Linked DNA regions of Lonchura striata. The protein of the gene in region 1 binds, or shares a complex with, the protein of each later gene. Links are inferred from orthologs where the notes say so. Each region holds a gene or a part of one and is shown on either strand. Other genes may lie near its edges. The genes, in order: MORF4L1, ING3, SIN3B and MEAF6.

The links.
Region 2: MORF4L1 (region 1) and ING3 share a complex: the UniProt entries of both Homo sapiens proteins name them as parts of the nuA4 histone acetyltransferase complex. The link is inferred for Lonchura striata from reciprocal best matches to the Homo sapiens genes MORF4L1 and ING3.
Region 3: the proteins of MORF4L1 (region 1) and SIN3B are in contact, whole or in part, in a cryo-EM structure (PDB 8BPA), measured with the Homo sapiens proteins. The link is inferred for Lonchura striata from reciprocal best matches to the Homo sapiens genes MORF4L1 and SIN3B. Residues at the interface, in NP_996670.1 of Homo sapiens: Gln217, Gln219, Tyr222, Ser348, Tyr350, Glu351, Val352, Ala353, Pro354, Pro355, Tyr357, His358; in NP_056075.1 of Homo sapiens: Cys394, Arg396, Arg402, Ala403, Pro405, Lys406, Thr407, Tyr408, Ser462, Phe463, Pro464.
Region 4: MORF4L1 (region 1) and MEAF6 share a complex: the UniProt entries of both Homo sapiens proteins name them as parts of the nuA4 histone acetyltransferase complex. The link is inferred for Lonchura striata from reciprocal best matches to the Homo sapiens genes MORF4L1 and MEAF6.

Annotation. Positions count from the first base shown.
Region 1 is NC_134613.1:23,960,854-23,968,656, reverse strand, and holds the start of MORF4L1 (mortality factor 4-like protein 1), read left to right. Parts: upstream 1-4,795; 5' UTR 4,796-4,922; coding exon 4,923-4,980; intron 4,981-6,610; coding exon 6,611-6,657; intron 6,658-7,803. Other genes in the region: ADAMTS7 (A disintegrin and metalloproteinase with thrombospondin motifs 7), read right to left, coding at 287-458, 1,267-1,610, 2,253-2,427. UniProt on the Homo sapiens protein: Component of the NuA4 histone acetyltransferase (HAT) complex which is involved in transcriptional activation of select genes principally by acetylation of nucleosomal histones H4 and H2A.
Region 2 is NC_134607.1:32,932,706-32,940,420, reverse strand, and holds the start of ING3 (inhibitor of growth protein 3), read left to right. Parts: upstream 1-4,701; 5' UTR 4,702-4,842; coding exon 4,843-4,870; intron 4,871-5,041; coding exon 5,042-5,113; intron 5,114-7,715. UniProt on the Homo sapiens protein: Component of the NuA4 histone acetyltransferase (HAT) complex which is involved in transcriptional activation of select genes principally by acetylation of nucleosomal histones H4 and H2A.
Region 3 is NC_134630.1:3,955,821-3,963,240, reverse strand, and holds the start of SIN3B (paired amphipathic helix protein Sin3b), read left to right. Parts: upstream 1-4,415; coding exon 4,416-4,520; intron 4,521-5,140; coding exon 5,141-5,247; intron 5,248-6,042; coding exon 6,043-6,196; intron 6,197-7,258; coding exon 7,259-7,420.
Region 4 is NC_134628.1:4,680,962-4,688,796, reverse strand, and holds the start of MEAF6 (chromatin modification-related protein MEAF6), read left to right. Parts: upstream 1-4,826; 5' UTR 4,827-4,848; coding exon 4,849-4,944; intron 4,945-5,057; coding exon 5,058-5,173; intron 5,174-5,250; coding exon 5,251-5,338; intron 5,339-5,905; coding exon 5,906-5,951; intron 5,952-6,479; coding exon 6,480-6,672; intron 6,673-7,799; coding exon of another isoform or gene 7,800-7,824; exon of another isoform or gene 7,825-7,835. Other genes in the region: SNIP1 (smad nuclear-interacting protein 1), read left to right, coding at 652-916.

The DNA.
Region 1 (7,803 bases):
ATTCCTCAGCACTGGAAATGCTGGGTTTGGGAGTTTATCCAACCCATCTGCTCTGCACAGGGAAGGACCCACACGCACTCTGCCCACACTGGGAACTCCCGGGCCAGCCACCGAGTTCCACTCCCAAAGTCCAACCCTGGCAGCTCAAAACCAAAGTTTTTGTGGAAATGAAAGCAAAAGCTCAGTCTCCACATCAGCCCCCTGCCTGCAGCAGGGCTGGGAGCAGGAGCTGAGCCCAGAGGCCCGAGGGCAGCACCCGTGGGTGACACAGAGCAAGGGACAGTACCTGGCACGCCGCAGGACGCCCGCGGGGCCGGGGCTCTCCTGCCCTGCTCAGCCCTGGCCTTGGGCACCTGGCGCTTGTAGATCCTGTGGGGCTGCGCTGCTCCCTCCTCGCGGGGGCTGCTGGACACGGGCTCGATGAAATAGTCCTCGTTCATGAGCTGGAACACGCCCTTCTGCCAGGGAGACACAAAGGGCCCCGTGAGGCCACCTGCAGCCCAGCTCAGCCCCAAGAACCCGGCACTGGGAGCGATCACAGTGCAATGGTTGGGGTGGAGAGGGACCTTAAAGCCCAGCCAGTGCCACCCCTGCCATGGCAGGGACACCTCCCACTGTCCTCGGTTCCAACCTGGCCTTGGGAACTGCCAGGGATCCAGGGGCAGTCCCAGCTGCTCTGGGAATTCCAGCCCAGGCCCTCCCCACCCTCACAGGGAAGGATTGTCCAGAATATCCCATTTACTCCTGCCCTCTGGCAGTGGGAAGCCATGGAGGATCCCATGGAGTTGTGCTCCCTCCAAAGTGCGGGACACGAGCATGAGCACTGCAGCACCAGGTACGTGGGGCCATTTCTGCAAACCCACAGGAGGTTCTAAGCCCTTTCCCCCAAAATGCCACTCTCCAGGTCACTGCTGCCTCAGGAAATACCGACGGTGGAGCCGAGGAAACAGCAAGCAGCTTCACTGCTGCCCACGAGCTGTGCTGTCACAGCACCTCCAGCTCCCAGCCCCTCGCTCACAATCCCATCACGTAGCAGCAGGCAGAGAATTGCTCTTTTTAGGAATTCGGACACAAACAAGTAAACCCAGCCCTGGAGAGCTCCCAAACCACTGCAATCCATGGGAAATTTACAGTCAGCTCGTCCATGGCCGCACCGGACCTGCACGAGGAGATGCTGGCTCTGCTGCGGGGAATTTTGGTGTCACTCCTGGCGGGACAAAGGGTTCCCCGAGGGGCTAGGGCTCCGTGGGGAGGGGCTGTACTCACCAGGCCATCGCAGGTGCTGAGGGCAGCCAGCCCGCCCTGCAGCGCCCGGCCCCGCACCTCGCCGATCATGTGGCACGAGTCGGAGGAGCGCGGCTGGATCTTGGCACCGGCAATGCCCCCGAAACGCCGCTCGCTGACAAAGCCCGGGGCCAGGAGGTGCCTGTTGAGGCTCAGGTTGAATTTCAGGGGCTGCCCTCTGTACTGCAGCTCGTAGAAGGCGGGAAGCTTGCTCCTGGAGGCCGGAGACCTCCGCTGAAGGGCCCGGTGCGACAAGTCGTAGGACAGGAAGGATCCGCGCTCGTCCACCTTGATGGGATGGACGATGTCGCTGCCGGAGCGCGGCTCTGGGGAGAGGGGGTGCCGGGGTTACCCGCAGGGTTCTTCACCTTTCCTCCCACACCCCTTCCCCCGCTGGCGGCGGCAGGGACCGGGACACCAGCTGGATGTGCCCGCTGGGACGGCACGGAGCAGGGACAGCAGGGAGAGCAGGGACATCACAGCAGGGACATCAAGGAGAGCAGGGACATCACAGCAGGGACATTAGGGAGAGCAGGGACATCAGGGACTGCAGGGACAGCAGGCACTTCGCCTGCCCCTGCTGCCCCCGGGGCCAGCGCTGGGCTTTGCCGGGGACAGCATTAAGGTCCGGGTTAGGGCCGGCTGGGCGAGGGGGAGTCAGGCAGCTCCGGAGCCCGGCCCCGGCTTGCCCCTATTAACTCCCGCTGTTAAACTCCAGCTGCAAGGAGAAAAAAGCACCGAACAAACAACGAAAATCTCCCGAAAAATGGAATCCACGCTTTGAGGCGGTGTTGGGACACGCCGTCTCTAGGAGCAAAGCGCCCGCGGAGACTGAGTGCTCCGGAGCCGCCCCGGGCGGGCTCAGCGCGGACAGCCGGGAGGGCACCGGGGCTCCCGGGAGGGCACCGGGGCAGCCGGGAGGGCTCCGGGGCTCCCGGGAGGGCACCGGGCTGTCCGGCTCCGGGCACCGCGGCTGCCGGCTCCGGGCACCGGGCTGTCCGGCTCGACGCCGCCGAGCGCCCCGCGAGCATCCCGCAGACACCCGGCGCTCATTGCCGCGGACAATCCCGCGGACAATCCCACGGACACTCGCGGCTCCACCCGCTCATCCCCGCGGACAATCCCGCGGCTCCACCCGCTCATCCCCGCGGACAATCCCGCGGACACCCAGCGCTCATCCCCGCGGACACCGGGGGCTCCACCCGCTCGTCCCCGCGGACAATCCCGCGGACACCCAGCGCTCATCCCCGGGGACAATCCCGCGGCTCCCCCCGCTCATCCCCGCGCACCCCCGGCGCTCGTTCCCGCGGACAATCCCGCGGCTCCCCCCGCTCATCCCCGCGGACAATCCCGCGGACACCCAGCGCTCATCCCCGCGGACAATCCCGCGGCTCCCCCCGCTCATCCCCGAGGACCCCCGGCGCTCGTTCCCGCGGACAATCCCGCGGACCCCCGGCGCTCCGCGGCCATCCCGCCCCCGTCCCCGCGGACCCCCGCGCCCCTCCCGCGGTCCCGCCGAGCCGTGCCCCGGACCTGTCCCCGCGGTGCCCCCGCCCGCGGCCAGCGCCAGCGCGGCGGCCACGGGGACGAGGGGCAGGAGCGGGCGCAGCGCGGCCGGGGCCGCCATGGCTGCGGCGGGCTGGGGGCTCCGCGGGGCGGGGATATTCGTGTTTGGTGTTATTCATATTGGGGCGGGGTTATGTACATCAGGAGGCGGGGTTCTATTGATGCCTTAAGTTTCAGCTTTCCCATTTTCCGCATTCTGCACTGCTTTAGTCTGTAGCTTGGAGCTTCCTACAGAGTGTCAGCAGCTCCCTCACAGCTCAGTCACACAGAGCAATCCTTTTCCAGCCCAGAGCCAAGGACACCGCTGCAGCTTCAGCACCAAAAAGTGCAAACAATAAATTGAGGAGAGCAACCCGGCAGGATGGGACCGCACAACCTGGAGCTGCAATTGGACAATTAACCCAATATGGAAATGGACCAAAACTTATAAAAGTGTGAAAAATCATGACCTGGAATCCAACTTGGGTGTAGCCACGCTCAGGCTCTTGTACTGCCCAAGGTGTACCCTGTGAAGGGATTTAATAAATCCCTGCTTTATTCCTTTAACTCTGCCCGGTTTTGTTCCAGGCAGCCTCTCAAGGCATCAATGCACGCCGGACGGGCGGGGCTATGTACATTCGGGGCGGGGTTATACCAATTAAAAGGCGGGGTTATGCACATTAGGGACTGGTTTTGCCAATTAAGAGGCGTGGTTATGCACATTAAGGGGCGGCTTTATGCGCATTAGGGGCGGGGTTATGTACATTAGGGGCGGGTTTCTGTGTATTAGGGGCGGGGTTATTCACATTAGGGGCGGGTTATTCGCATTAGGGGCGGGGTTATGCACATTAAGGGGCGGGGTTATGCACATAAGTGGTGCTTAGTCAATTAAGGGGCGCGGTTATGCAAATTAGGGGCTGTGTTATGTACATTAGGGGTTGGGTTTTGTCAATTAAGGGGCGTGGTTATGCACATTAGGGGCGGGGTTTATTTGCGCGTTGCCAGCGTGGCCCATGGCGCCCCCTGGCGCTCCCTTGCCGCTTTGCATCTTTTGCCTGGCCGTGAGGACCGCGATTAAAAAAATCACAAAAATTCAGCGAATTTTCGGTCAGAAATAAAAAACGGTCTTTGGCTGATGCCGCCATGTACTCCCTTTCCTCTGCCGGGGCTGCCTGTCGCTGCCTCCTTTTATTTTCTCTCGTGTTGAAGCGCACCGGGAGCAAACACGCGGGATTACTCCTCTCTGTTAATTACCCCCTCGGGGGCTGCTCGCAGCTCTGGCATCCCACAGCTTCCCCGGGACGGCCGCACCTCCGCTGATGGATTACGTTTGGGACAAAGTTTAATTAGGCGATAATGTTAACTACGCCAATTAGGCGATAATGCTAACTCCGCCAATCAGCCGGGGGCGCGCCCTCTGGCGGCCGGAGCAGGGAACGCCCTTACTGCGGGTGCCGACACCCGCTGCCGCCGCTGGGTGTGCGTAGCGCCCGGCTAGCTCAGTCGGTAGAGCATGGGACTCTTAATCCCAGGGTCGTGGGTTCGAGCCCCACGTTGGGCGCATTGCGTTTTTCCCGTTTTTTCTCGGTTTTCATTAATTTTTTCGCCCCCCGGCCCGATCCGGCTGCTCACGGCGCGGGCAGCCGCGCTCTGGGCAGCGGTCCGGCTGGCGGGGCGGAGCGGGCGGGCGGGACTGCATGTCCCGGCATGCCCGGGCCGCGGCTGCGCGGCGGGGCCGGGCCGGCGGCGGGGCCGGGCCGGGCGGCGCCGGGGCCCGCGGGAGCGGCCGGAGGAGGGACCGGCCCTTATAAATGGCGCCCAAGCAGGACCCCAAGCCCAAGTTCCAGGAGGGTGAGTGCGGCAGGGCCCGGGGCCGTGCCCGGTGCGGGGCCCCGCTCTGGCCCCGCTCTGGCCCCGCTCTGGCCCCGCGGCTCGGGGGGGTTTGGCCCCAGCGCTCCCCGCTCAGCCCCGACCCGCTGGGAATAGGTGGGAAAGCGAATTCCCGCAGCTTTGTCCCTTCCCGGCCTTCCTCTCCGCTCCCGGCAGCACGCGGGCCCTCCCCACCCCGTTCTATCCTTCATTTTCCTGCGCGGATGTTCCTCGGTGTTAAAACGGCTGCGAGCCCTCCGGTGTGTCGGGGGTTTTGTTTTGGTGCGTTTGGAAAATGGTTGTTATTTTTTTTTATTTGTTTGTTGTCGCCCGGAAGGGAGCCCAGTGCAGGAGGATTCATGGAGGCAGCGGTGGATGCCAGCACAGCTGGAATCCACATCTGCCGCAGAGCACCGGGGTTTAGGTGGGTAAGGATGACTCGGGCTGTTTAGGAGGATTTTTCGACGTATATTTGGATTTTTAGGTGATGGTTGAGGTTGAGATTAATAAAGTAAGAGAAACGGAAATAGCAGTGCAGTGTAAGATGGATGCCCCATCCCTGGAATGTCCCAGGCCAGGCTGGACGGGGCTGGGAGCAGCCTGGGACAGTGAAGGTGTCCCTGCCATGGCAGGGTGGGATGAGATCAGCTTTGTTGTAAGGAACAACGTGTGGATCCAGGGATCAGCCCGTGTGTGAGGGAGCAGGAGCCTGCCGGGTTATCATGGAGACAAAGAACCCTTTCTGCGGATCATCCCTGTGTTGTTAAAAATGAATGTTCCTCGGTAACTGTGGGCATCTCTCCTGCAAAACACTGCCCAGCTCTGAGGCTGAGGTGTGTCTGCCACCAGCACTGTGAGCACCGTGACGATGAGGGTGGCAATGCCACCTCTGATTGTCAGCCCCGTCTCTAGGGACATTTTTAAATAAATAAAAGGACCAACTGTGTGATGCATCAATGTGGACAACCAGCGCCTTTTTCTTTGTGAGACACAGAGGCATTTCACAGTTCCACAGCTCATCTTCCCAAAAGCAGAAAGCACTGCAGCTTCCAGGAGGAGATGTGCCCTCAGATATCCTGGGTTCAGCATCCTGCAGTTCCCTCAGTGGAGCCACACAGTGAGGCTTGGCCACGAGGAGATAAAACCGGCCTGAGGGACAATGTCATCCTGCTCCAAAGCCCACAGTGAGGGGGTTCTGCTGCTGCCCAGCCCTGCCCTGCCCCACAGGCTACGTGGGGAAGCAGCATGGGGGTCTCTCTTCCTGACTCCCCTGGGCTGGCAATGCCATGTGCTGCCCTTCCTGCAAGGAGAGGACACGGGTGACAGTGGCAGGAGCTTCAGGTGCAGAGGTGGGTGTTAGACAGTGTCCTGGGTCAGTGACCCCTCAGAGGGGCAGCTCTGCCTGCCTGTGGCTGAGCCCAGCCTGCTGTGGGGGCTGCAGCTCCCCGAGGCTGGGGAGGAGCTCTGGGGATGTCAGGGAGGAGCAGGGATGTGGGCTTTGCTGCCAGAGTCACCAGCACTGTGTGCTGTGTGTGTGCAGCTGCTCTGGCATCTCGGGGATCTCTGCTCTGATCCCTCTGCCGGGACAGAGCATTTGTTTCTGGGGTCAGTCCTGCCTGGGAGCTGCCCCCAGGCTGCTCTGTGCTGTTCCTGGGGCACAGGCTGTGGGCATGGCCCCTGAGCTGTTTCTCTGCGCTGTTCCTGGGGCACAGGCTGTGGGCAGGGCCCCTGAGCTGTTTCCCTGTGCTGTTCCTGGGGCACAGGCTGTGGGCATGGCCCCTGAGCTCTTTCCCTGTGCTGTTCCTGGGGGCACAGGCTGTGGGCACGGCCCCTGAGCTGTTTCCCTGTGCTGTTCCTGGGGCACAGGCTGTGGGCATGGCCCCTGAGCTGTTTCTCTGTGTTTCCCTTGCAGGTGAGCGAGTGCTGTGTTTCCATGGACCTCTCCTTTATGAAGCCAAGGTGGGTGTGGGAGGCTGCAGGTGGCTCCTGCTGCTGCCCAGGAAAACAAGGACATGTTTCTGTCTGCTGTGCCTCTAGATGGGACCAAGGACTGGAACTAAATTTAACAGAAAGCTGTCTGAAATCAATTTCAGACCCTGGGGCTCTATTCCAGAACCATTTCAGGAAGCCCAGTGGCACCGTGCAGCTATTTTGGGAAGCTCCCAGAGGCTGTTAGAACATCCCAGAACACTGAACACTGGAAATATCCCAGAACACTTTGTGCCTGCAGGATTTGGTGCCTGAGCTGCTCAGGGGGAGGGGGCTGAGTACAGCCCGTGGCCTTCCACAGCACCAGTGCCCAGGAGGAGCTGCACTGCAGTGACAAAGGACGTGGCAGTCCCAGTTCTGCTTCCCAGCTCTGGCTCTTTCACCACAGGAGCCTGCAGTGCAGATTTGTGCCCCTGCTGCCTCAGTGTCTGAGTGCCCCACTCCCCCTGGAAGGGAAGGAAAGGGCTCTTGGGGCTGTGTGGGTTGGAAGGTGTGCAGAAATTCCTGGGGCACCTCAGACAGGGATTTAAATCCTTTGGATGTTAACACAGGGAGGCAGGAGAAGCGCTCAGCTTCTCTCTTCAGGAGAAAGAGTTGTTGTAATGCTAAAATCTCTCCCAGAGCACTGAGAGGGTTTGGGCTGCTCCAAACCATTCCCACCTTAGGGCTCCTACTCTGCTCTTTCCTGCCTCTGGATCAGAAGGATGAGGTTGTGGGATTTGTTGGGAATGTGTGCTCAGGGTTGTTGTGCCTGCAGAGAGGAGGGTGATGGAGGCTTCTGGCTTTGAGGCAATGACCTTGTGCCACCCAGCCAGCCCCGAGCTGGAGCAGCTGTGCTTGCCCTGCTCTTGCCAGGGTGGAATGAGTGCTGCAGGAGCAGGCTGTGCCAGCTGGGTGCTGCAAGGGATTTCCCAGCTCACAGGTGGCTTTTGGCTGGCTGTTTGTACCCAGTGGGTCCTTCAGCGTTCCTGCGCTGGCAGAATGATCTTGAAGTTTAATTTTAAAAAGGTTTGACTTGTTTATTTTAAAGAGTTTCATTTTAAAAGCTGCTTTGTCAGTAGTAATGAATAACAACCTTGGCTTTCTTCCTGCTCCTTTGATCTGTTTTTCTCCTGT
Region 2 (7,715 bases), on another chromosome or scaffold:
GAAAAAAAAAACAGATAAAGAAGTATTCACATAAACATATGGATTGCTCATGTAAGCTTTATTTCCTTAGGAAGTCAGGATAAAACATTTCAGTGATTAATATATAAACAGCAATTGCTCATATCCTGCAGATTTTCAGGAAATAACTGAAATCTGCAAGCAAATTTAACTGACTCTGTAGTAGATAAAATTAACTAAAAGAAGAAGATATAATTGCCTGAGTCTGTACACAAAGTCAAGCTGAAAGATAAATGGCAGTTCCATTTTCCTGTTGACTGTTAAAACAAATTAATTATCTGGGGTTATGGATTTTCTTCCAGAAACAGGAATGTGAATCTCAGAATCCAAGAGTTTGTAATCAGCAGAAAAGGAAACTGATTTCTCAAGAGAGATTAACATCCAGGCACAATATTCCTGGGCCAAATTTGCCCTTTTCAGGGATTGTTTTATGGAAGTGTGAAGTTCCTGCATAGTGCTGCACTAAACTAGGATAACATTATGTACTTAAAACTCTGACACAGCTTTTTCCTAGGATCCAGTTTTGGATGCAGTTTCCTATTACATAAAATTGATTGCTCAGAAAAAATACAATCATGCTGTAATCCTTAGACAGTGCTCAGTCTCAAGACAATTCAGTTATTTAACTAATGTCCTCCAATAGCCATGGTGTGCAGTACAGCAGGAATGATAGTTATTTCCTGCAGAGGGAAAGTGAGGCTGTGGGTGATGCCCCTGCAGCAGCAGAAAGGGTGGAATTTGGGAGATGGTGGAGTCCATGGCAGCTGGGAGGGACAGCTGGACTGCAAAACTGGGTGGACTGGAAGGAATGGAAAAAACAGCTGCAACAGCAGAAAAATAGCAGGCAACAAACAGGATGTGAGGAGGAATTACAATAAAACAGTTGAAAGCATGTGAGGAGACCAGCAGGCCTGATACTGACAATGGCAGCCAGAACTGCTGGGAACTGTGCGATCCACAACACATGCTCGCAGCAGTGCACCGTGGTGAATGGATTCTGGCCTGCCTCACAGGACTGCTGGAGTGCAGCAGGAGCAGGTGCCAAAGAAAACCAAACTGCTCCTTTCTGGTAGTTTAAGAGCTACCCAGGCTTGCAGTTTTATGTAGGCTCTGGTGGATGCCACTTAGCTGTCATTCTGTCTGGAAGTCCTGAGAGCCCTGAGAAACACACAGATGTACATCGCAACCTCTGCGTGCCACAGGCAGGGAAGCTTGCTTGGGAGAAAGCACAGTGCAGGAACCTGCCAGCAGTAGCTGAGACCCGGAATAACAATCTAGGGATGGGCTAGGTAGGTCTTTCCTGATTTTTTTTTTTTTCAAATAATATCCTTAGAAATGTGTCTTTTTTGAAAACAAAGAAACAAAATGTAAGGACTGTAAGTCCAGAAACGCTGTATTAGGTAAGAGTTAAAATCAGAGTACTAAAGTAAATACAGAACTGTGGCAGTCCTAAACGCGTACAGAAAGCTCCAGCAATCAATCATACAGCTCAGAAGATTGAATGGATTTGGAAGGAAGAAGGAAAGAGTGGTATCAACAGATAGACTGCAGCTGCAACACGAAGATGGAAACGATGGAGTCAGATGTGTCAAACAGCTCTACATATGGGAAGAGATAGAAGCAATTAGAATAGAAAAAGGACATTACAGAGATATGGAATGGGTAAGTGCAGAGAGAGGGAGATTTGAAAATCATAACCCTCATCTGAGAAGTGCACATCAGAACATAAATTTATGTTTCAGCTTTTTTTTTCCTGTCAGCTGAAAACTAATGGAACCTAGGCAAGCAATTAGCTTTAGGTAGATCACAGGGCATCTATAATATTCCTTTGTGTCATCACTCCGTCACAGTGATGAAACATGATTTATGTGAAACATTTGCTGGAGAAAAGCCATCAACATTAATAACATTATATAAACAGGAGAAAACAGCAGCTCCTGTGGCCTCCCTTCGCTTCCTGTGCTAAGCAGCTCTGTAGCTGCAAAGGAGTTTTTTGAGCAATGTCGATTGTAATTCACAAATTGAATTTTTTACCTTGAGTTCACAGCTGGTGTTTAGTTCTTTTTCACTGTATTTGCATTCCAATAAACAGTCATTAATCCCTGTTTCCTTATCAGAAGCTGTTCTAATTAGGTTGTTCTAAAAGTTGAGTTAATCAATAGAGTTAATTCTTTGCATTTATAAACAACAGGAAGTTTTCTATTGTAAAAACAGTTTCTTTTTTATGGTCTCTTGGCTTATCACTTCTTAAATGTCACCTTAAACTCAGTGCCATTGCTATGTCATGATAAACAGCTCTGACACAAGCAATCCTATTGAAGCTGGCGTGGCTAGTCATTTGACTATACAAAATGAGTTAATATGGGCAGAAAGGAAAAACATGAGCTTTTTCATTTGTCTAAAAGTACTAAAGAAGACCACAGGTAGATAAATAAGTTCCTGTTTTCTTTTCAATAGTGAACACATTGAATTGTATTTTCCTTTGTAGTTCACCTCACAATCCCCTGCCATGCCTTACTGTAAAGGGAACAGCAAACAGTTTTCTGAGCAGGTCTCTATTTCTATAAGAGACTCACATTACAATAGACCACTACACATAAACAGGGGGAGTTCTGAACTTGCAGACAGCATCCAGCCCCACTAGAGCTTAATTTTCCTGTTTCACTAAGAGACACAGAGCACATGCCATTACTAATGGAAATGGCTGAGACACAACCCCAAGAGCTGTGTTCCTTGGTCTCCTTGGTCTGTGCACCATAACATACATAAAATACCCTGGCACAGTAAGCCTCACTGAGAATTTTGCTAGCTAACCCCAAGCTTGCAAAGATGAGTAGAGGAAAAGTCACAATGTCCCAGTGTTTGTGCTGTCCTGGGATTTTTGGTCATGTGACAAATGGTAGGGACTTACTCTATGACCATATTTCAGTTGCGGTTCTAAAAGTGGTGTCTTTGTTTACAGTATTTTTCTTAGACTTCAGCTGCATGAAATGTGCTCCCCAGCATGTGTACAACTTTTTTTTTCTTTAAAAATCATTAAAGCCACAACTAAGCACAAAAGAAAGTGATGCTGTCAATTCAGATTTCCCCTAAATTCACCTAGCTTTTCTCCTAATAAATATAGGATGTTGTTACTTTGCTGTGCTTTTGCATGGATTAAGTTCTCCTGCTGCATCAAACCCTTTCATTTCAGTAAGGGCAGGCATTTATCTTCCCACAAAGGGTCAATCTTGTGTTTTACATACCAAACTGGGTCAAGCAATTTCCCACACAAAACTCTAAAAATACTGTTATGCCTACACCAGTCAGTTCTACAGGAAAGAGATCTGTATGAGCAATAATAAAGAAATTATTTCTATTAAGACTAACTGAGCTTAATGACCATCTAAAATCTGTTCTCATTTCTATGTGTAAGAGTAGTTGATATTTCTGGTTTGGAAGTGCAGACTACATGGCTGATGATGGAGCGAGTATGGAAAGTGACCATATTGATGAAGCACTTTTTCACAAAGTTGAAAAGTTATTGAGAGCTTATTTTTACACCTTTTTCATTCTCCCCCATCTTTAATGACAAAAGGAATTAAAACCCCTCAACATGCCTGCTATACCATGCGTATTCAACACATTACTACCCTCAGTCATCATAAAGGCTATATACAAAATGTATTGTTTCACTTCCCAAAATTCAGTCATCTTTAACTAACTACTCTCAATACATGAACTTCAGAGATGAGAGAAGTACCACTTTCCATTGGTCTTGGCTCTCAAAAACATCCCATACAAGTTTTACTCATACTTGGCTTAAGCATACATTTCCTTTTTGCTTGGCCACATCTGGCACAGATAAAGACATGGAAACAAAAAGCACAATAGAAAGCAAGCCTCCTCTGTTACCACAATTCTTATGCTCCTATACTTACACCTGGCATCATACAAGACCCAAAATTTTCTTTCCCCAGGCAAAAAAAACAGATCTGGATAAATGCATCAGTCCATGCTTAAAGCAGTAAATAACAGCAATAGAAGAGTGATGAAAAAGACTCTTTGGGGGAATAAAACTCTGAAAAAACCCAGTCTCAAACGAGTGAATTACTGCAAGTATTGTAACTGGATGGCAATCAGTGCTCTTAGCCAAGTTTGGTTTTACACTCTGAACAGCAATCCCAAAGCCCTCTCCTGAGGCTGTCCGTAGCTGTGACCTGCTCTGAACGGAGCAGCTTTTTTAACTTGTGCCGTCAGAGGTCACGGACTGAAGCAACTTCATTAGTTCTGCTGTTTTTAGTGCTTTTAATAAGCCAGTGCCGGCTGCGAGCATCTAAAACAGACAAGCAAAAGCCTCGAGAGTGGTCAAGGATCTGCGAGTTCTCCCTTCCCGTTCGCCTGATTTGCGGCGCTGCGGTCGCGCCCCGGACGCTCCGAAGGGCCGAAAACTGCTCCCGAAGAAGAGCGCCGCAGCCCCTGTGAGGCGGGAACAGCCCGGGAACCCGGGAACGGCCCCGGGACCGCGGGAATGGCCCCGGAGTGCGGGAACGGCACCGGACACGGGAACGGCACCGGACACGGGAACGCCGGGCGGGACGCGCAGTCTCCTGCCGGCTCGCCCAGCACAGACTACGCTTCCCGTGAGGCCGCGCGGCAGAGCGCGGGCCGCAGTGTGCGTCAGCGGCGCGAGCAGCCAATCGCGGCGCGGCCGCGGCGAGCGCCGTCCGCCGCCAATGTTGTTTTCGCTGAGTCGAGGCGCTGGTGTTGTTGGCGGCGGCGCCATATTGGAAGGGACGAGCGCCCGCTCTCGAGCAGCCCCTGGGCGCGGGCCCGGCCGCCGCCATGCTGTACCTGGAGGACTATCTGGAGAGTGAGTGTGTGCGCGGCGGGGGCGCCGGGCGGCCGGGCACGGCCGGTGCGGGGGAGCCGGGGGAGGCCGCGCCGAGGAGGCGGCGCCCCCCCTCCCCCACGGCAGCGAGTGACTGACTGGCTCCCCCCTCTCTCCCTCCCCCCTCTCTCCCGCTCCCCCGTGTCCCCGCAGTGATCGAGCAGCTTCCCATGGATCTGCGCGACAGGTTCACCGAGATGCGCGAGATGGACCTGCAGGTGCAGAGTACGTGAGTCCCGCCCCCGCCGCCTCCGCCCGCCCCTCCGCGCCCGCCCCGCCCCGCCCCGCGGGCACCGGCCCCGCCGCCGCGGCCCCGCCGCAGGGCGGGCAAGGCAGGAAGGAAGGGAGGGAGGAAGGAGGCGAAGCGGCGCCGCTCCGGCCCGCGGCAGCAGCTCCGCCCGCGGCAGCAGCTCCGCCCGCGGCAGCAGCTCCGCCCGCTCTCCCGCGCTGCCCCGGGGCGGTCGCGCCCCCTCCCCAGCCCGGCCCCGGCGCTCGGCCCGAGCGCGGCTCGTCATCTCCCGCTGGCCAAGCCCGTGCCGAGCGGCGCGATGAGCGAGGGGCGGGGCGCACGCCGCCGGCGCTGTCGCGGCTGCCCCCGGCCAGCCCCGCGCCCCCGCCCGCCGGGCCGCGGCGCGGGCGGCGCCCTAGCGGAGCTGCCTTCTGGGCTTGTGCTGCTCCCAGACGCCTTTTCGGTGGCACGTCCCAAACTCTTTAGATTTTTGATCCCTAAGAGCAGTGATGGTGGTTTGGAACATGAGTTATGTCCCACTCCTGCCAGTAGGCAGCGGCATGCTCTCCCTGAAACTTTCCAGCCAGCTCCCTAATAATAACATGGGAAGGTGCCATTTGCTCGGCCCTTTGTGCCCTAGCTGACATGCAACCCAAATATACTTTATGCTCTCGGTTTTATACAAATTATAGAAATGCTTACTTTTGTACAAGTATATATTGTATACAAAATACATTTATAAATACGCATCAGGTTTCTTTGTAGATGACTTTGTATCTCTGCTTATAACCTGATGTAATACACTGCCTTAGGCTGTTTTCAGGCTGCATTGCCATTTCATCTTTTCTAATGCAATCTTGTTTGGAACTTAGGTGTCCTGTAACACCCAGGATAGCTGTTGCAGTCTTTTAACACACAATTAATATGGTTAGCTATAACTGTGATCAAAAAGTATTGATTAATGAAACTGCTACTGCACAAAAGATGAGAGCAAACATCTTTTTTTGCAAAGGGGAATGAGAGAAAGAACAGAGATTGAAACAACAATGGAATACTGTATAGGAGTACAAAATGCAGCACTAAGTGGGATCAGTTCTGTAATACTGTAAATACTGTAAAGTGATTTCCATTGGATATTTATTTCAATGGACCTAACAAGTCTGTTTAACAGGCCTTATTAACACATGTAGAACTGTCTATAGGATTTTTTTTTTGTGTGTGTATTATCACCTAAACATTGTCTTGGGTTCAGTGCTTAAAGTTGTGGGAACTGTCATGGCTCCTGGGACATAGCACCTCTGAAGTCCCTATCACCAGGGAGAATCATGAGGGGGAGTGAGCAGCTCCCTGACATGGACAGTTTGGAATAAGTTCACAAATTTTATTTCATTTCTCTTCCATAAGAAGGCAAAGAGAATACTAGGTTATTTTTTTTTAGGTGTGTTTTAGAACTGAGGCAGCTAGCAGTGCCAAGACAGCAGATTGTAATTTTCTCTGCTTTAACGAAAATTACAAATAACACTCCATGTTGTTTACTGAAAATACTAAATGACATTGAATATTGTGTACTAGGACCAACCTTAGGTGTAGAGAAATTTTTCTTCAGACATTGGAACTTCTGTAATTCTGTGAAAAGATTGGCAAGGTATCCAAAAACATTTATGAAACTTCTGCACTAGCATCTCTTCAGCATGACTTGCCCAACTGCCTGATGAACACTGTGTGCAAACCTGGAGGTTGTTTTGTGTCTCAGAAGTACTTGAAAACAATGCTTTGATGAGTGATGCTGTCCCAGAGATCTACATGATTAGTAATTCAGAGATATCTCTGCTTCTCTGCTTCAGTGTCGTTGTTGACTTTGTATTCTGTCCTGTTTGAACCACAGTGACTCCTAATGAGGCAGGTTCTGCTGTTTATAGTTGGAAGAAACAAAAAACCGGGTCTATCTGCTGTATATTCTGATAAGATTGCTGTGGAAAAAGCAAAGATCATCTGAGCTGGGACTTGACTCTTGAGCTTTAACTGAGCTTCACATGAAGGGTTAAATGTGTTTATTTAAGTTGAAATCATGGATTATCAGGATTTCATGCTAAAATGTCAATATCTAGAGAAAGGACTGTTCTCATGGAAGTTTTGGCAACTCTCTTGTGAAATTTAACTTAAGAAATTACTATCTCAGAATATAGTGTCACAAGAAAAAATGGATGAACTTGAGTGTAGCAGAGAGAACTTAACATATAGTTTAATAGACCTGACCTGAACTTGGCTTTGCCTTTTCTGCTCTTTCAGGAGAGACCAAGTTTCTGTGGAAATTTTCCCCTAGGCAGTTCACCCAGACTGATAACACGTCCTCAATAAAAAGTGAAGAGGGAAGATACTTTTTTATCATTTCTTCTTTATGGAGCCACTAGAACAACTAACACTTAAGGTGTTTGTGCTCAGAGGATAGGAGATAGAACATTTTGTCTTTTGGCTTTTTAGACCAAATTAGAGTCATTTGGTCAAAGAGCAAAGATTTTAGAAGCCTCCATATAAAGTGTGTGCTTCTTGCTTGCCTCTCAGGCTTCTTAATATTCTCTACATGATGCAAGTGGAAAA
Region 3 (7,420 bases), on another chromosome or scaffold:
TCTTGCCTGCCTTGGTGCTTCCTACCTGGAGCTCGTGGGGTGGCTGTGGAGCAGTGCCTGAGCTGCTGCAGGGTCTGTCCCTACCCTGTGCTCATCCCACTGTGTGGAGTTCTTCACAGGGCTGTGTGTAGGATCTCACCTCTCCTCAAAGGTAGGATCATTCCTGGGGCAGATACAACCCAACAATATTTCTAATTATCCCTCTGTTATGAATGAGATGCAAGAAACACGATAAACAGGAAGGAAGAATTGATTGTGTTCTTCTGAGGAAGAACAGACAATCTTGTGTCCCTCATCCACAGGAAAGTGATGTGAGGACTGTTCTTTGGGATGCATATCCTGGATAATGAACCTGCCCCTGCCAGAAATCAAATTCCAGATGCACAGCCTGTGATCCATGGCAGCAGAAACAGCACAGGTTCCTTTTTCAAATTTCCACACACCTCACCTCAGCTATCAAGAAAGAGTGGGGCTCACAAAAGGAGGGATTTTCCCTGCAAGAAGCACAATAAATTTGGAGGAGAAAAGCCCAGTTTCTGTAGGAGCCCAGCCTGGAGACAAAGGCAGGAGGAAGGTGCTGTGCCTTTGTGCTGTCCATGCCCTGGCCCCATTGGCAGCTGCTTCCACAAATGAGGAGAAAGTGGGTCATTTAGTCGCCAGGACAACAACAGCACACACTGACCTAGATATGTCTGCAGGAACCTAATCTTGCTCCTGGCACAGACCACGGGGTTCAGACAGGACCTGGGGTTCCAGCTGGGGAAACACAGCACATAAACAAGCTCAAAAATGTCCTTTTTCTGTCTGTGGCAGCAAGAGCAGCCTCTCCTGCCTCTCTGTGTGTCACAGCGATGGCACTTGGTCCTGATTGCCAGCTGCTGGTGGCAGCTTCCCAGGATGGCTCTGTGATTGTCTGGAATATGGAAGTTTTTGAGATGCTGCATGCCCTTCCTGGGCACTCTGCTGAGCCTTCTCCAATTTTTGGGGCTGGAAGGCTGCTTTCATGCCTCAGAAGAGCTGTGTCAGCATGGCAGTCCTGGATCTTTAGGCACACAGACATCTCCCAGCCATGTTGTTGCAAAACAACAGAGAAGCCCTCGTTCTGTGAGCCCCTCTCTTACTTAGCTGAGGCGAGGTGTGTGAAAGTGTTTGAAAAAGGAACCTGTGGTGTTTCTGTCATGGACCACAGGCTAAACATCTGGAATTTGATTTCTGGCAGAGGTAGGTTCATTATCCAGAATATGCATCCCAAAGAACAGTCCTCACATCACCTTCCTGTGGATGAGGGACACAGGATTGTCTGTTCTTCCTCAGGTACAAAGGTACCTGTCAGTCTTTAGCTTAAAGGGGCTGAAAGAACCACAGATTTGCAGCCACAACCTTGAAGGTTGCAGCTTGTGACAGGTGAAAACTTGAAATATGAATAATAAGCCATTTCCCAAGTAAGGAAGCCAATCCTGAGCCCATCTGAGGGCAGACAGAGTAGGGGCAGTCTCTCAGATTTCCCTGTTTCACAGGTGAAGGGTGTGACACAATGCACACACCTGCCTGAGTGAGATGCTTGGAAATATCCGAGCAAAGCCAGCTCCTTTTCCCGGGACAAAGCCCTTGTCTTCCCACTGAACTGCAGGCAGGATGTCACTGTTGTTATACGTGTACATGATAATTCATGTACACATATAATGTGTACATGACATAAATAAATAATACATGACAATAAATAAAATTGTCGTATATTTTATAATTATATACTGTTAAGACAAACTCTAGTAAGTTTTTAAGCGACAGGGAATGCAACACAAGATGGAGACCACCCAGACAAGGGAGGGAGGACTTAATTTACAAGCAAATGAACGTGGCCAGCCCGGAGATGGATCATCCATAAGGTGGCCTGAGGCGATAAATACTCGATAAATATCTGAGACTAAGATAGCCAGAGCCATCAGGGAGATACATCTCAATAAGAATTCCAGGAATTGGATCACTCTCAGATATGTATTGTTCAATTTGCCACAGAGAAAAGAACTCCACATGAATACTTGCAGTCCGAAAAGGAAGAAAAGGGACTCTGCCTCGGGCAAGAAATATCGTTTAAAAATGGTCAGATGGGACAGTCGGTGTGAAGCATCCTCTGCCACAGCAGTCAAAGCTGTGTCAGACCCGAGCTCGGCACCGACCCTTTTTTTTTGATAGTGGCTTTTCGTTGTTATTCTCTAAATTTATATTTGGAACATTTAATACATTTTCTTTAATTATTAAATTGGAGTTTTCATTTATAACAAGTGTCATCCTTCCTCCAGAGCCACAATCAAGAGGCAGGAGGAGCAGTTTGCCACAGGCCGGGATGATTTATTCCTAACAGATCCACAGGCCCAGGCACACCATCAGAACCCAGATCCCGGATTTCCTTGGAGATCACAGGGATTCAGTCCTTAGGAGTGCCCTGGGGCCCAAGGGCTCCCTTTGGAAGGTCACAGATCTCCTGCTTGGCAGCTCTCTTGGAGCTCTGTCAGCAGCAACTTGAGCTGAGCTATTCTGAGACACCAGGAGCTGAGTGTCAATGGTTAATGGACATCCAGCTCCCAGGATTCCCAAGAACACCCAAATCCTGACAAAATGTCAGGCACATTTTCCCAGCACCCAGGGCTGGTCTGGGAGCATCCTCACAGCTGGATTCACCAGTCAGTGTTGGTGCTGGCAGGGGCTGAGGGCTGGGAACTGTGCTCTGGCAGAAAACAGAACTCACAGGTGTTACCTGCAGCTGGTTCTGCTCATGTCACCACATGGCACAAACCAGGGAAGAGGATGAGACTTCTCAAGTTAATAATAGTAACAGAAAACAGAATTTGGGCCAGCTCAGGAGAATCCAGGAGGAAAAAATAAAAGAGGTGCAGGGGGTTGGATCAATGATTTTCTTTTGCCTGACAACACACCAAAGATATCTCTGAGCTACTCCTTTCCACAGGTGGAATAAAGGTCTTTACGTTCCCTACCAGGCTCTTTCCTGCACAGCTATGAGTGCTTCATAACCTAGGAGTTGTATTTGGCTCCCACCACTCTTCCAGTATTACTCCTGTAAAAATCTGTATTTATTATCTCTATTCTTAAGCACTGAATAACCACTGAAAACTCTAAAACATCTCCAACCTGTATTTACCAGCACAACAATCTAATGCCATTTTCAGCCCACATCTCTCCTGAAAGGCCTTTGCAGTGCCTGCTTCTCCAAAGATGATAAATACTTGTATGCTGGGTCACTGAATCAATCCACCAGTCTGGCTGCTGAAAGCAGTAACTGTGAAAGAAAAAGTCTTTATTAATTAAATCCTTCCTGTATGAAGGGAAATGGGTCACAGGGCAGCAGTTTGTGCAAGTATCAGAACAGGGGATGGAATATCACATCCAGAGGCCGTGTGTGAGCATCCTGCCTGAAAGCTGCAAACAGCTGGAATACTCCAGCACAACATAGAGAAAAATATTCTGAGCTCAAATACCAGCAGCAAGTTTAAAGGCAAAGCAAGAAAGGCTTCTCTGCACTTTTCTATGATGCAAATCATCTGTAATGCTTTAAAGAAAAACAAATCACACGGCTTTATTTTTCCCCCTCTCCTCTTTGCTCTTCATGTAACTCAGTTTTACTGAGTTCAAATTGCCTGCTGACAGGAACTGCTGGGGGAAGTGGCATATTTTAAGCCTACATTTACCCTGCTACCCCAGAGCAACCCTTGAGCTCAGGGCACACCATTGAGGGGCTCCCCGGGCTCTCCAGCCCCTCCAGCTCCCCCAACCCCCCCATGACTCTCCCAAACCCCCTCATGGCTCTTCTCACCCCGGCTCCTCCACACCCCCTGCCTCTTCCAGCCCCTGGGGCTCCCCCAGCCCTCGTTCCTCAGGCTCCCCACAGGCCCCACCAGCTCCCCCGGCCTTCCCCAGCCACCCCTGGGCTCCTCCAGCCCCGTCTGAGTCTCTCCAACACCCCTCGGCTCCCTCAGCCCCGCAGCACCAGTCGCCGTTTCTCCAGCCCCGGCAGTTCCAGTGCTCAGCCCGCGGCTCCTGCAGACTCCCAAAGATCCCAGGGATCCCGCAGCCCCCCGGGCTCCTCCAGCAGCTCCCCCTGGGCCCCGGAGGCCCCTGAGGAGGTCCCTGAGGCGCTGCTGAGGCGCTGCTGAGGCGCCGCTCCCGCCGCTCGCTCGAACGGCCGGAAGCGGCGCTGGGGGCGTGGCCTGCACGGATGAGGGCGTGGCCACACCCTGTGGGCGGTGAGGGGGCGTGGTCTATGGCGGGGCGTGGCCAATCAGAGGGCGGAGGCACGGAGGGGGCGGGTCTCGCTGCGGAGGGGGCGTGGCCTGGGCCGTGCGCGCTGACGCAGCGGCGGCGCGCGCCGCCGGGGCCGCGCTCGCCCGCCCGACTCCAACATGGCGGCGGGGGGCGGCGGCGGCCGCGGGGCCGGCGGGGGCAGCGCCCCGCGCTGGGGCGGCGGCGGCGGCCGGGCCGCGCCGCACGAGAAGCTGCCGGTGCACGTGAGTGCGGGGGCCGCCATCGCCCCTTCCCCACCCTCCCCCGCCCCCGCGAATGGCCGCTCCTCGCCCCCCCCGGGACGGCCCCGCCCGCCCCCGCCGTGACCTGCCCCGTCCCGGCTGCGGTGCCGAACTCGCCCCTCAGGGCTTGTCCCTCACCCGCCGGTATCGGGGGGTGTCCCGGGGGCTCGTCCCCCTCGCGCCGGGGGCATCCCCGCCTTCCTCCGCTGGTTCCGTGGGGTCCCCTGGGGCTGCATCCCCTTCCCCCGGTTCCGTGTCCTGTTCCCCCGGTACCGTGAGGGCTCCCCGGGCCTGTTCCCCCCTCGCCTGGGCCCTGCCCCTCTCCCCGGCCCTGCTGTTCCTCTCAGGTACTGCGGTCATCCTCCCCAGGGACCTGTTCCCGGCTCCCCGGTGCCGTGCCCCCCTCCGTGCCGTGCCACCCCCGGGCACGGGCAGCCCGCCGGGGCCTGCCGTCCTCCGGTACCGAGTGCCCTCCGCCGCTGCTGCGGGGCTCCCCCGGCGCCGGTTCCCACCCCCTTGAGGGTGTCTTGAGGTGCCCCCGCCCCAGTTCTGGTGCCGTGGGGGCTCCGGGGCCTGTTCCCCACCATGTTCTCACCCCGCAGGTGGAGGATGCGCTGTCCTACCTGGACCAGGTGAAGATCCGCTTTGGCAGCGACCCTGCCACCTACAACGGCTTCCTGGAGATCATGAAGGAGTTCAAGAGCCAGAGGTAAAGCCAAGGTCCTTCACCCCAGGGTGCTCTAAGGACCTCATCAGCATTTCACAGAGGCCCGAACATCCTGAGCTGGGAGGGACCCCCAGGGATCATCAGCCCAGCCCCTGTCCCTGCCCAGACCCCCCAACAGCCCCACCCTGAGCAGCCCTGAGAGCGCTGTCCAAACGCTCCTGCAGCTCTGGCAGCCTCGGGGCCGGGACCATTCCCTGGGGAGCCTGGGCAGTGCCAGCACCCTCGGGGGGAAGAACCTTTCCCTGAGCTCCATGCCAAGGCCTGGCACAGCTCCAGCCCTTCCCTAAGGTCTCAGCCTTTGTGGGGTCTCTCTGCCTTTGCAGAGCCCCCCAGCCTTCACCCCATCATTCCTCCTCTGCACACTCACTGCCCTGTTCCCCAGTGGTGCAGTTCTGTGAAGCTGGAGTACTTCTGCCCATCCCATAATTTTCCAGAGGTGAAATGCACAGGAAAAAGCAAATCTGCTTTTGCTTTCCACTCTGAAACGCAGATCTGGGAAATAAGTGAAGCAACCTGAACAGAACCTGTGACCTGCAAGCTCTGGAGGTGCTGGCTGTCTGTCCTGTCCCTTTGCCAACCTGCACACTCATCTCTCCTCCCCAAGGATAACACTCCCAGGGTGAAGCTGCAGTGGTCATTCCCTCTAATTTGGCTAATTGTTTTTTTAAATAATTGCACCCCTAATTTACTAGATACTTCACATTTCTCTTGGCAGTTTCTGGGCTTAACTTGTGTTTCTGATTTGGATAATAAGTAACAAGCGCCTCTCAATTTTAGCATTGACACACCTGGAGTCATCCGACGTGTTTCTCAGCTTTTCCATGAGCATCCCGACCTCATTGTAGGATTCAATGCATTTCTTCCTCTGGGCTACAGGATAGAAATTCCAAAGAATGGGAAATTAAGTATACAGTCACCTTTGAATAGTCAGGTAGGTCACAGAACTCTTATCCTCTAAATAAACTGTTCCATGTGTCACTGGACATGTCTGCACAGTTTAGGCTGTGGAGATTTATGTATAGTGCTTGTTGCTGATGTTTTTAAAGCCTTTTTAATGGGTGTAATATAAATGTAAATGTTTATGCAAAGAATCATAGAATGCTTTGGATTGCAAGGGGCCTTAAAAATCACCTAGTTCCAACCTCCAATTTATTCTCAAACCAGGTAGTTTGACTTACACAGGAATGATGATTCTGCATGGAAACACCATTTCAACACCAAATATTTCAGTCGTGTTTGGAAACTGAAACTGGAATTGGCTTGACATTGTTCCCAGTATGGGTTGTGGGTAGTGGCAAATTTCAAGGGGTGATCCTGGAAGAATTGCACTTCCAGTCTTCCACTGAGAAACCAGGAAACTTGCTTAGGAAACAGGCAAAAGAACTGTGAAATCATTGAGTTGTTGACATTGGGAAAGGTCTTTAAGATCATGGAATCCCCATCAGATACTGTTGGTGTGAGACCCACTTGCTGGGATACAGATGGATGTCGCCCCTGCTTGATTTTTGTTATTACTGTGTGGAGCTGAAATACAGCCATAAACTGAATTCTGCTGATAAACTTGTGGTGTAAGTCTAGTTAGCAGCAGGAACAACCTTTTAAATCTCAGCTCCCTCAGATCCCTGTGTTGCTTAGGAATTAACACCTGTAAGGGCTGTATGTTTAATATGCCCCTTAAAACTGGCAGCTCCTCTGCAATAACCAGTGTAGCAGAACCTGCAGTGGTGTTTGGTGCAGCCTCTCAGTTGAGGCCAATAAGGCTGTGACAGCCACAAATCAGGTGGTTCTTACACCAGGGAGAACTTCAGGCATTATTTTAACTGATGGAGTTAATAAACCAGGTAGGGAAATTGATTGGTGACTGAACTCCTTTTTCTTCCTTCTTCACGTGACATTATTTTTCAGCTGGAGACTTGCCAGCACTGCTGCTGGGCTGTTGTTCAGCTGGTCCCTGATCTTTTTCCAACCCATCTCGTGTGTCCTGTGCCCCCAGGTGCCCCCAGAGCCCGTCCCCAGTGCACTCCCTGGCAGTGGGCTGGTCTTGCACTACTCCCAGGAGAACTCCCACAACCACAGCGACTGCTCTGAGGAGTTTCGGCAGCAGCTTCCCTACAAAGAAGATAAATCACAAATTCCCTTGGAATCTGATTCCGTG
Region 4 (7,835 bases), on another chromosome or scaffold:
CCCACGGATGTGAGAGCATTTCAAGGTTTGTGAGAGCATTTCAAGGAGATGTTGGTTTGTTTGCTCGCTGTGATGCACAGGAGTGTGGGTCTCAGATTCAGTCAAAGAAAGAAACTGAGAGTTTCTAGCTGGGCAGAAGCCTGGGAAAGAGCTGGACAAGAATGTAAATAATTCTTTGTCTCTCTTGTTATTCACATTGTTTATAGTTAAGTTCTATCACTGTGTGTCAAGCACTTTGCACCAATAGTTTGGGTTGTTTTCACTTCAGGACCAATGGAGTTGGTCCTCACGAAGCTCTTTATAAAAGAGCAGGGTATTTTGAATAAATCGGAGTTTTACTCTCAGCAGCCTTCTAAGCCAGTCTTCTCATTCCTGTCCTGCCTCGACAGTGACACAGGAGTGCTGCTGCCAGCAGTGCTCTCTTGGAGAACATCTGTCCCAATGCAGGAACTTCTGTGCTACAGCAGCAGAGCTTTAGGGATGATGCAGCCTCTCTCAGAATCCGCTGTCTCGCAGTTTCTTGTTGCTCTCCTTGGTTCAGATGAGTGTTCACTGCACAAACCACTGCTCGTGGAGCACAGTTTGTGCCTCACGTGCTTTCAGCGCCCTTGCCGTGTCTCTGGTGGCTCAGGCAGTGCTTTTGTCCTGCAGGCTGGTGGAGTACACCCGAGCTGATGGCACCGTGGGCCGCAGGGTGAGGCCCTACATCATCGACCTGGGCTCGGGGAACGGCACCTTCCTCAACAACCAGCGCATCGAGCCCCAGCGCTACTACGAACTGAAGGAGAAGGATGTGCTCAAGTTCGGCTTCAGCAGCAGGGAGTACGTCCTGCTCCACGAGTCCTCAGATAAATCTGAGGCCAACGCCAAGGACGATGATGAGGATGAGGAGAAGGAGGAAGAGTCTGACAGTTAACGGATGAGGAAGAAGCAGGGGAGAGGCAGAGGAGAGAAACTCCTCGTGGTTGAACGGGACTGGGATGTGAACACGGAGCATTGCAGCACTGATGCCTCTTGTTGCCTTAAAGTCTTTTCTGTGTTGCTGGTCTGTTCCCATAGTTTGTTTTGGGGGGGCTTTGCTCGTTATTCGTGTTTGATAGTTTTGCATATCAGGAAATACAGCTTTATTTTTATTTTATTTTTCTCCCAAGAAGCCGAAGAGCACCTGGATGTGAAAACTCTGGTGCTGGAAACCCTCCACAGATGTTGTCAGACTCTTCCAGCAAACCATGTCAAACACGGACAGCATCTGGAAAATTTTTATGACTTGTTTTGTTATATCCCTTTGAAAATGCTACAGACTGAAAGGTTATAGAGTACCTGATGCTCGTTCTTTTCCGTAGCTTGCCAAATTCCTCTGCCTGTTGGGAGTTCTGACAGGAGAATTTACCTGAATCACTGCTAAAATGGCAGAAATGTGCAAAGACCCTCATGAATTTGTATGTTTTGGGTATCTAATTTGCCTCATGGTTACTGAGGGATGGGCATTTCACTGGAATTCCACCTAGGAATCACAAGGGAATGTGAAACAGAAGTTAAATAATTCCTGGAATTTCAGGTGATGAGACTGTGACCCAAGTTCCCTGTTCCCACACATGATGCTGAAACTGTCCTGGATGTGGAGTGTCTGGGTTGTAAGCTAGAGCCCTAATTTCTACCCCCACCCCAGGGTTTGTGTCAGACAGAAACGCCTGTGACAGGGTGACGTGTTTTAACCAGTTTGCACTATTTAAGTTCTCTTTTTATAAAAACTTCCCCAAGTCCTTTGTTGAGCACAGTGAAGAAGTCAGTGTTCAGGGAGGAAGCACCAGTCCCACTCAGTGGGAGCTGCAGTTTTTGGTGTCTCCTCCAACGTTGCTTTATGTTCAGTGTGTATATCCCACCCTTCACTGATTTCACCTGGGTGTTTGTGGTCTCACCTGTTCGTCCCTGCTGTGTACAGACTGTACACAAAGGTGCTTGTTGTACACATTGACAGTGTAAATATGGGGCATTGCTGTGGGGTTTCAGATGGGTAGGATGGGGTTTGAGCAGGAGGAGCTCCTTTATATCTGCTCCAAGGGTTTTTAAATAAACAATTTGTAAATTTAGCCATGATTGCTTTCTGTTGTAATATTTTTCATTGGGTGTTTGGGGGAAAAAATGGGGGAAATGGCAATTTTTGGGAAAAAATTGTGGGAAATGGGATTTTTGGGAAGGAGTGACAGCGCCTATCAAAAGATTTGTTAAGCTCCGAATGGGAGGTGCCAGAATTGCTGTACTGCAAAAGGGCAAACTGGCCCCCAAACTGCAGAGGATCGGAGCGACACAGTTTAATAGGATCACAGAAAGGTTTGGGTTGGAGGTGTCAGGAAAACTAACCCACACCTGAGGGTTATGCCCAAAAAAGAGACAGAGGAGTCCTGGAACTTTATTCCAATAAAGGGAGAGGCCATGGGGCATTTCCCATCGAGTCTCTCAAGTTGTTAGAGGATGAAGCCTCCTTTTTATCCCAATTTCTCAGCCACATTTCCCTCTCTCTTTCCCCACTGGCTGAGGTATTTGAGAGGTACAAACTTCCCAATACAGACCCCCTTCTAATGTATACCCCCACCTTTTCCTTGTCAGTCAGTGGAATTCCTATAGAATCAATGCTTCTTCCCACTACTTCTTTCATCTCTCAATATCCAATTTTATTTATCAGCAGACCCACAGTAGATCTGTAAACACAAATCCCTCTCATTCCATTCATCAATCAGTGAAATCCCACTGCTGCTTTTACCTCAGCGCTAGTTTTACCTCCCCACAGTTGGTTTGTAAAGACAAATCCCTCATTGCTTTCAGAGGGACCCTGAAGACTGCAGAACCGGGGAATATGTGAATATCTGAATAGGGGAATATCTGAATATCTGAACTGGGGACTGTCTGAATGTCTGAACCGGGGAATATCTGAACTGGGACTACCTGAATCACTGGGTGGGCAGAACCACCGACCGTTCCCATTCCCATCGCTGCTGTCGCCACCACGTCTCTGTGGCTGTCTCTGTCACTGTTGCCGCTGCTGTCGCTACCGCTATCTCTGTCCCTGTCCCTGTCTCTATCCCTGTCCCTGTCTCTATCCCTGTCCCTGTGCCTATCCCTGTCCTGTCCCTGTCCCCATCCCTGTCCCTGTCTCTGTGTCCCCGTCCCTGTTCCTGTCCCTGTGTCCCCATCCCCATCCCTGTCTCTATCTCTGTCTCTGTCCTCTCCCTGTCCCTGTCCCCTGCCTCTATCCCTGTCCCCGTCCCTGTCCCTCTCCCTGTCCCTGTTGCTGCTGCTGTCGCTATTCCTGTCCCCGTCCCTGCCTCTGCCCCTGTCCCCTGTCCCCATCCCAGCCCCTGTCCCTGTGTCCCCGTCCCTGTCCCCCGTCCCTGTCTCTGTCTCTATCCCTGTCGCCGTCCCTGTCCCCATCCCTGTCTCTCCCCATCCCCCGTCCCTGTCCCTCTCCCCGTCCCTGTCTCTATCCCTGTCCCGTCCTCGTCCCTGTCCCTGTCTCTGTCTCTATCCCTGTCCCCGTCCCTGTCCCTCTCCCCGTCCCTGTCCCTCTCCCAGTCCCTGCCTGTATCCCTGTCCCAGTCCCCGTCCCCGTTCCTCTCCCTGTCCCTGTCCCTGTCTCTGTCTCTATCCCCATCGCTATCCCTGTCCCCGTCCTTGTCCCCGTCCCTGTCCCCATCCCAGCCCCTGTCCCTCTCCCTCTCCCTGTCCCCGTCCCCCGTCCCTGTCCCTCTCCCTCTCCCCGTCCCTATCTGGGTCCCTGTCCCCGTCCCTGTCCCCGTCCCCGTCCCCGTCCCTGTCCCTGTCTCTGTGTCTATCCCTGTCCCCGTTCCTGTCCCTGTCCCTGTCCCTGTCCCTGTCCCTGTCCCTGTCCCTGTCCCTGTCCCTGTCCCTGTCCCTGTGTCTATCCCTCTCCCTGTCCCTGTCCCTGTCCCCGTCCCTGTCCCTGTCCCTGTCCCTGTCTCTGTCTCTATCCCCATCGCTGTCCCCGTCCCTGTCCCTGTCCCTGTCCCTGTCCCTGTCCCCATCGCTGTCCCTGTCCCTGTCCCTGTCCCCGTCCCCGTCCCTGTCCCTGTGTCTATCCCTGTCCCTGTCCCTGTGTCTATCCCTCTCCCTGTCCCTGTCCCCGTCCCTGTCTCTGTCCCCGTCCCTGTCCCTGTCCCTGTCCCTGTCCCTGTCCCTGTCCCCATCGCTGTCCCTGTCCCTGTCCCTGTCCCTGTCCCCGTCCCCGTCCCTGTCCCTGTCCCTGTCCCTGTCCCCGTCCCTGTCCCCGTCCCTGTCCCCGTCCCTGTCTCTGTCCCTGTCCCTGTCCCTGTCCCCGTCCCCGTCCCTGTCCCTGTCCCTGTCCCTGTCCCTGTCCCTGTCCCTGTCCCTGTCTCTATCCCCGTCCCTGTCCCTGTCCCCGTCCCTGTCCCTGTCCCTGTCCCCGTCCCTGTCCCCGTCCCTGTCCCCGTCCCTGTCCCTGTCCCTGTCTCTGTCTCTATCCCCATCGCTGTCCCCGTCCCTGTCTCTGTCCCTGTCCCTGTCCCTGTCCCTGTCCCTGTCCCTGTCCCTGTCTCTATCCCCGTCCCTGTCCCTGTCCCCGTCCCTGTCCCTGTCCCTGTCCCTGTCCCTGTCCCTGTCCCTGTCCCTGTCCCCATCGCTGTCCCCATCGCTGTCCCTGTCCCTGTCCCTGTCCCTGTCCCTGTCGCCGCTGCTGTCGCTGCCGCCGCCTCCCCCGCGCTCCCGGCTCCGCAGCGCCCCTGGCGGCCGCCCGGCGCCGCCGCTCCCGGCTCCGCAGCGCCCCTGGCGGCCGCCCGGCGCCGCCGCGCCCCGCCCCGCGCAGGCCGCGCCGCCATGGCCGCGCTGCACGCCAAGGCCGGCGGGCCGCCGCAGATCCCGGACACCCGCCGGGAGCTGGCCGAGCTGGTGAAGCGCAAGCAGGAGCTGGCGGTGAGCGCCGGGGCCGGGCTGGGCGCGGGGCGGGCGGCGGCGGCGCGGCCGGGGCGGCGGCGGGGCCGGGCGGCGCGGCCGGGCCTGCTCCATGCGCGGCGGCGTTCCCGCAGGAGACGCTGGCCAACCTGGAGCGGCAGATCTACGCCTTCGAGGGCAGCTACCTGGAGGACACGCAGATGTACGGCAACATCATCCGCGGCTGGGATCGCTACCTCACCAACCAGAAGTGAGTGGCGGAGGCGCTGCCCGCCGGCCCGGGTCCCCCGCCCGCCGGCCCCGCCATCCCGCCTGTCTCTGTTTCAGGAACTCCAACAGCAAAAACGACCGCAGGAACCGCAAGTTCAAGGAGGCCGAGAGGCTCTTCAGCAAGTCCTCGGTCACCTCGGCAGCGGTGAGTGCCGGGATGAGCCCTGACCGCTGTGCTCACCCCTCTCCTTATCCCTGGCCCCATCCCTTTCCTTGCCCCCATTCCTCTTCCTGTTTTTTCCCCATCCCTCAGTCCTGCTGTGATCACCTGCAGAATTACTTCCCCATTTGCAATCCCATCCCTGCCCTGGCTCCCTGCCCTAAGCATCCCCATCCCAGTCTCCATTCCCATCCCTTTCCTTGCCCCCATTCCTGTTCCTGCTTTATCCCCATCCCACCCCTGTCCCTTGGTGCCTCAGTCCCGCTGTGATCACCTCCAGAATGACTTCCCCATTTGCAATCCCATCCCTGCCCTGGCTCCCTAAGCATCCCCATGCCACCCTGCAGCCCCTTCCAGAGCCCTTTCCCAGTGTTTGGGGTGGGAGGGTGCCTGTGCCTGCTGTCACCGCTGTCCCCTGGCTTTGTCACCAGACCCCCGGTGCCACACGGGGCCATGGGCATCAGAGGGACGTGTCTGTGTGAGCTGGGCTCCATGCTTTGAGCACTGGGAAGTGAATCCCTGCTTGGCTTGACATCCCATTTGGTTTCCCAGGCTGTCAGTGCGTTAGCTGGAGTCCAGGACCAGCTCATTGAGAAGCGTAAGTCCCTTCATCACTTTTCTCTGAATTTGGGAAGAATTACACTGTCCCCCACCATTCAGCCCTGTCTCAGCCTTCCAGATCTGGGCTGGGGTCTGGCTCCCCTTCCCAATCCCTGTGTCTGCTGCCCTCGGGCTGCTCCTGTTGACTTCCCAAGTTCTTTCCAGGCTCAGAGGGCTTTGTTGTGTGTAAAAGGGACTGGAATTGCTTTGGTGCTGTGTGGAGGAAGAGGCTGGACGAGCTGAAGCACTGCATCTGTAGATGTGTCAGTCACAGGAGACCTGGGGAGGGACCACACACCCCCAGGACACTGAAAAAACGTTTTTGTGATCAGCACCAAAGGGGATGTAGTTCCTCAGTGCTGAGGAGCAGCTTCCTGTGTGTCCTGCAGGGCTGTGTCCCAGGCTCTGTGATTCACCTGGTGCTGCAGGGCTCAGGTGCCTCTGCTGCTGTGCTGGGGTTGTTTCTCCCACTCAGGGCTGTGCCAGGAGCTCACCCTGGTGCTCACCTGGCTTTGTCCTGCTCTAGGGGAGCCGGGCAGTGGCACAGAGAGTGACACTTCTCCAGACTTCCACAACCAGGAGAATGAGCCCAACCAGGAGGATGCTGAAGAGCTGGATGGCTCCGTGCAGGGTGTGAAGCCCCAGAAAGCTGCTTCCTCCACTTCCTCTGGGAGCCACCACAGCAGCCACAAAAAGAGAAAGAACAAAAACAGACACAGGTCAGTGGGACCAGCAGCCTGCTCACCACACCTGGACAGTTGGCTGGGGCTGGATTGAATTTATTGCCTGAGGGGAACCAGTAGCACGTTGGAATAACCAACAGGCAGCTGGGGTCAGTTGTTTGGGTGTTTTTCCTGGTTTTGGAAGAGGAGGGGAGAGTGCCAAGGAAGTTAAACAAGCAGCACAGGGTGCTCACTCCAGCTGTGGCACAGCTGTGCTTCTGGGCAGCTTCTCCAGCTCTTCCATCTCTCCAGGATAAAGCTTGTTCCTTCCATCAGGTCCTGACCTCCTGAGCTTGCTGCTTGGTTTCTGTAGGGCAGGAATGTTAGTGCTTTCTTTGAAGGAGGGTGGAAAGCAAATGGGAATATTTTTGGGGTTTTGGACACTCCCAGTGTCTGGATTTCCACTGCAGCCCCTTCCAGCTCTCACATCCCTATGGAGTCTCAGTGCTGGCATAGAGGAGTTGCTGTGTCACCTTCACCTGAGAGTGTTTGTTATTAAACTGACCTGAAATTTATGTGAAACAGATTCCTTGAACTCTTTTCTGGTTGGATTTACCTGTCCAGCTCTGCCCCTAAGGTGTCATGAGGGCGATGAGCTGGTCCCTGTGCCCTCAGCCCAGGCTCTGGCAGTGACAGTGCCTGTGAGTCAGGCCCTGAGGGAGGAAAGCTGAGGAGAGGAGATACATGGAGCTGTCTGGAAGGATTGCTGAAGCTGGGGCCTAGGGATCTCACAGAAGTAATGGAGCTTTTAAAACCCTCTAGTTTTAAAAGCTCTCAGAGCCAGTCTGTGCTGGCTCTGAGCTGTTGCCTCTGCCTAGGGACAGGCTCTCCTCTTTAAGGGACCTGCCATGCAATTAGAGAAAGGATTTAAAGTGGTAAAAGTTTAAAAGGGGGGCTGGGGTAGTTGGGGTGGGGACACGAGGTAGGTACAATGCTTGAAAAATGCTTAACTCCTTTTTTGCCTTCATTAAGTGTTGAGTCATTAGTGTGTCTTTAATTCTTGGGTCAGAATTTCCTTCCTACAGCAGCTTGAATTGGGCAAATATCCGAAAGGACTGGATGTCCCTTTGGTTCCCCATGGGCTGGGAATCCAAAGAAGTTCAAATCTCTTTTTTTGCCTGTAGATATTTGGAAGAAGTTCAGGAATAACACAAGAAACT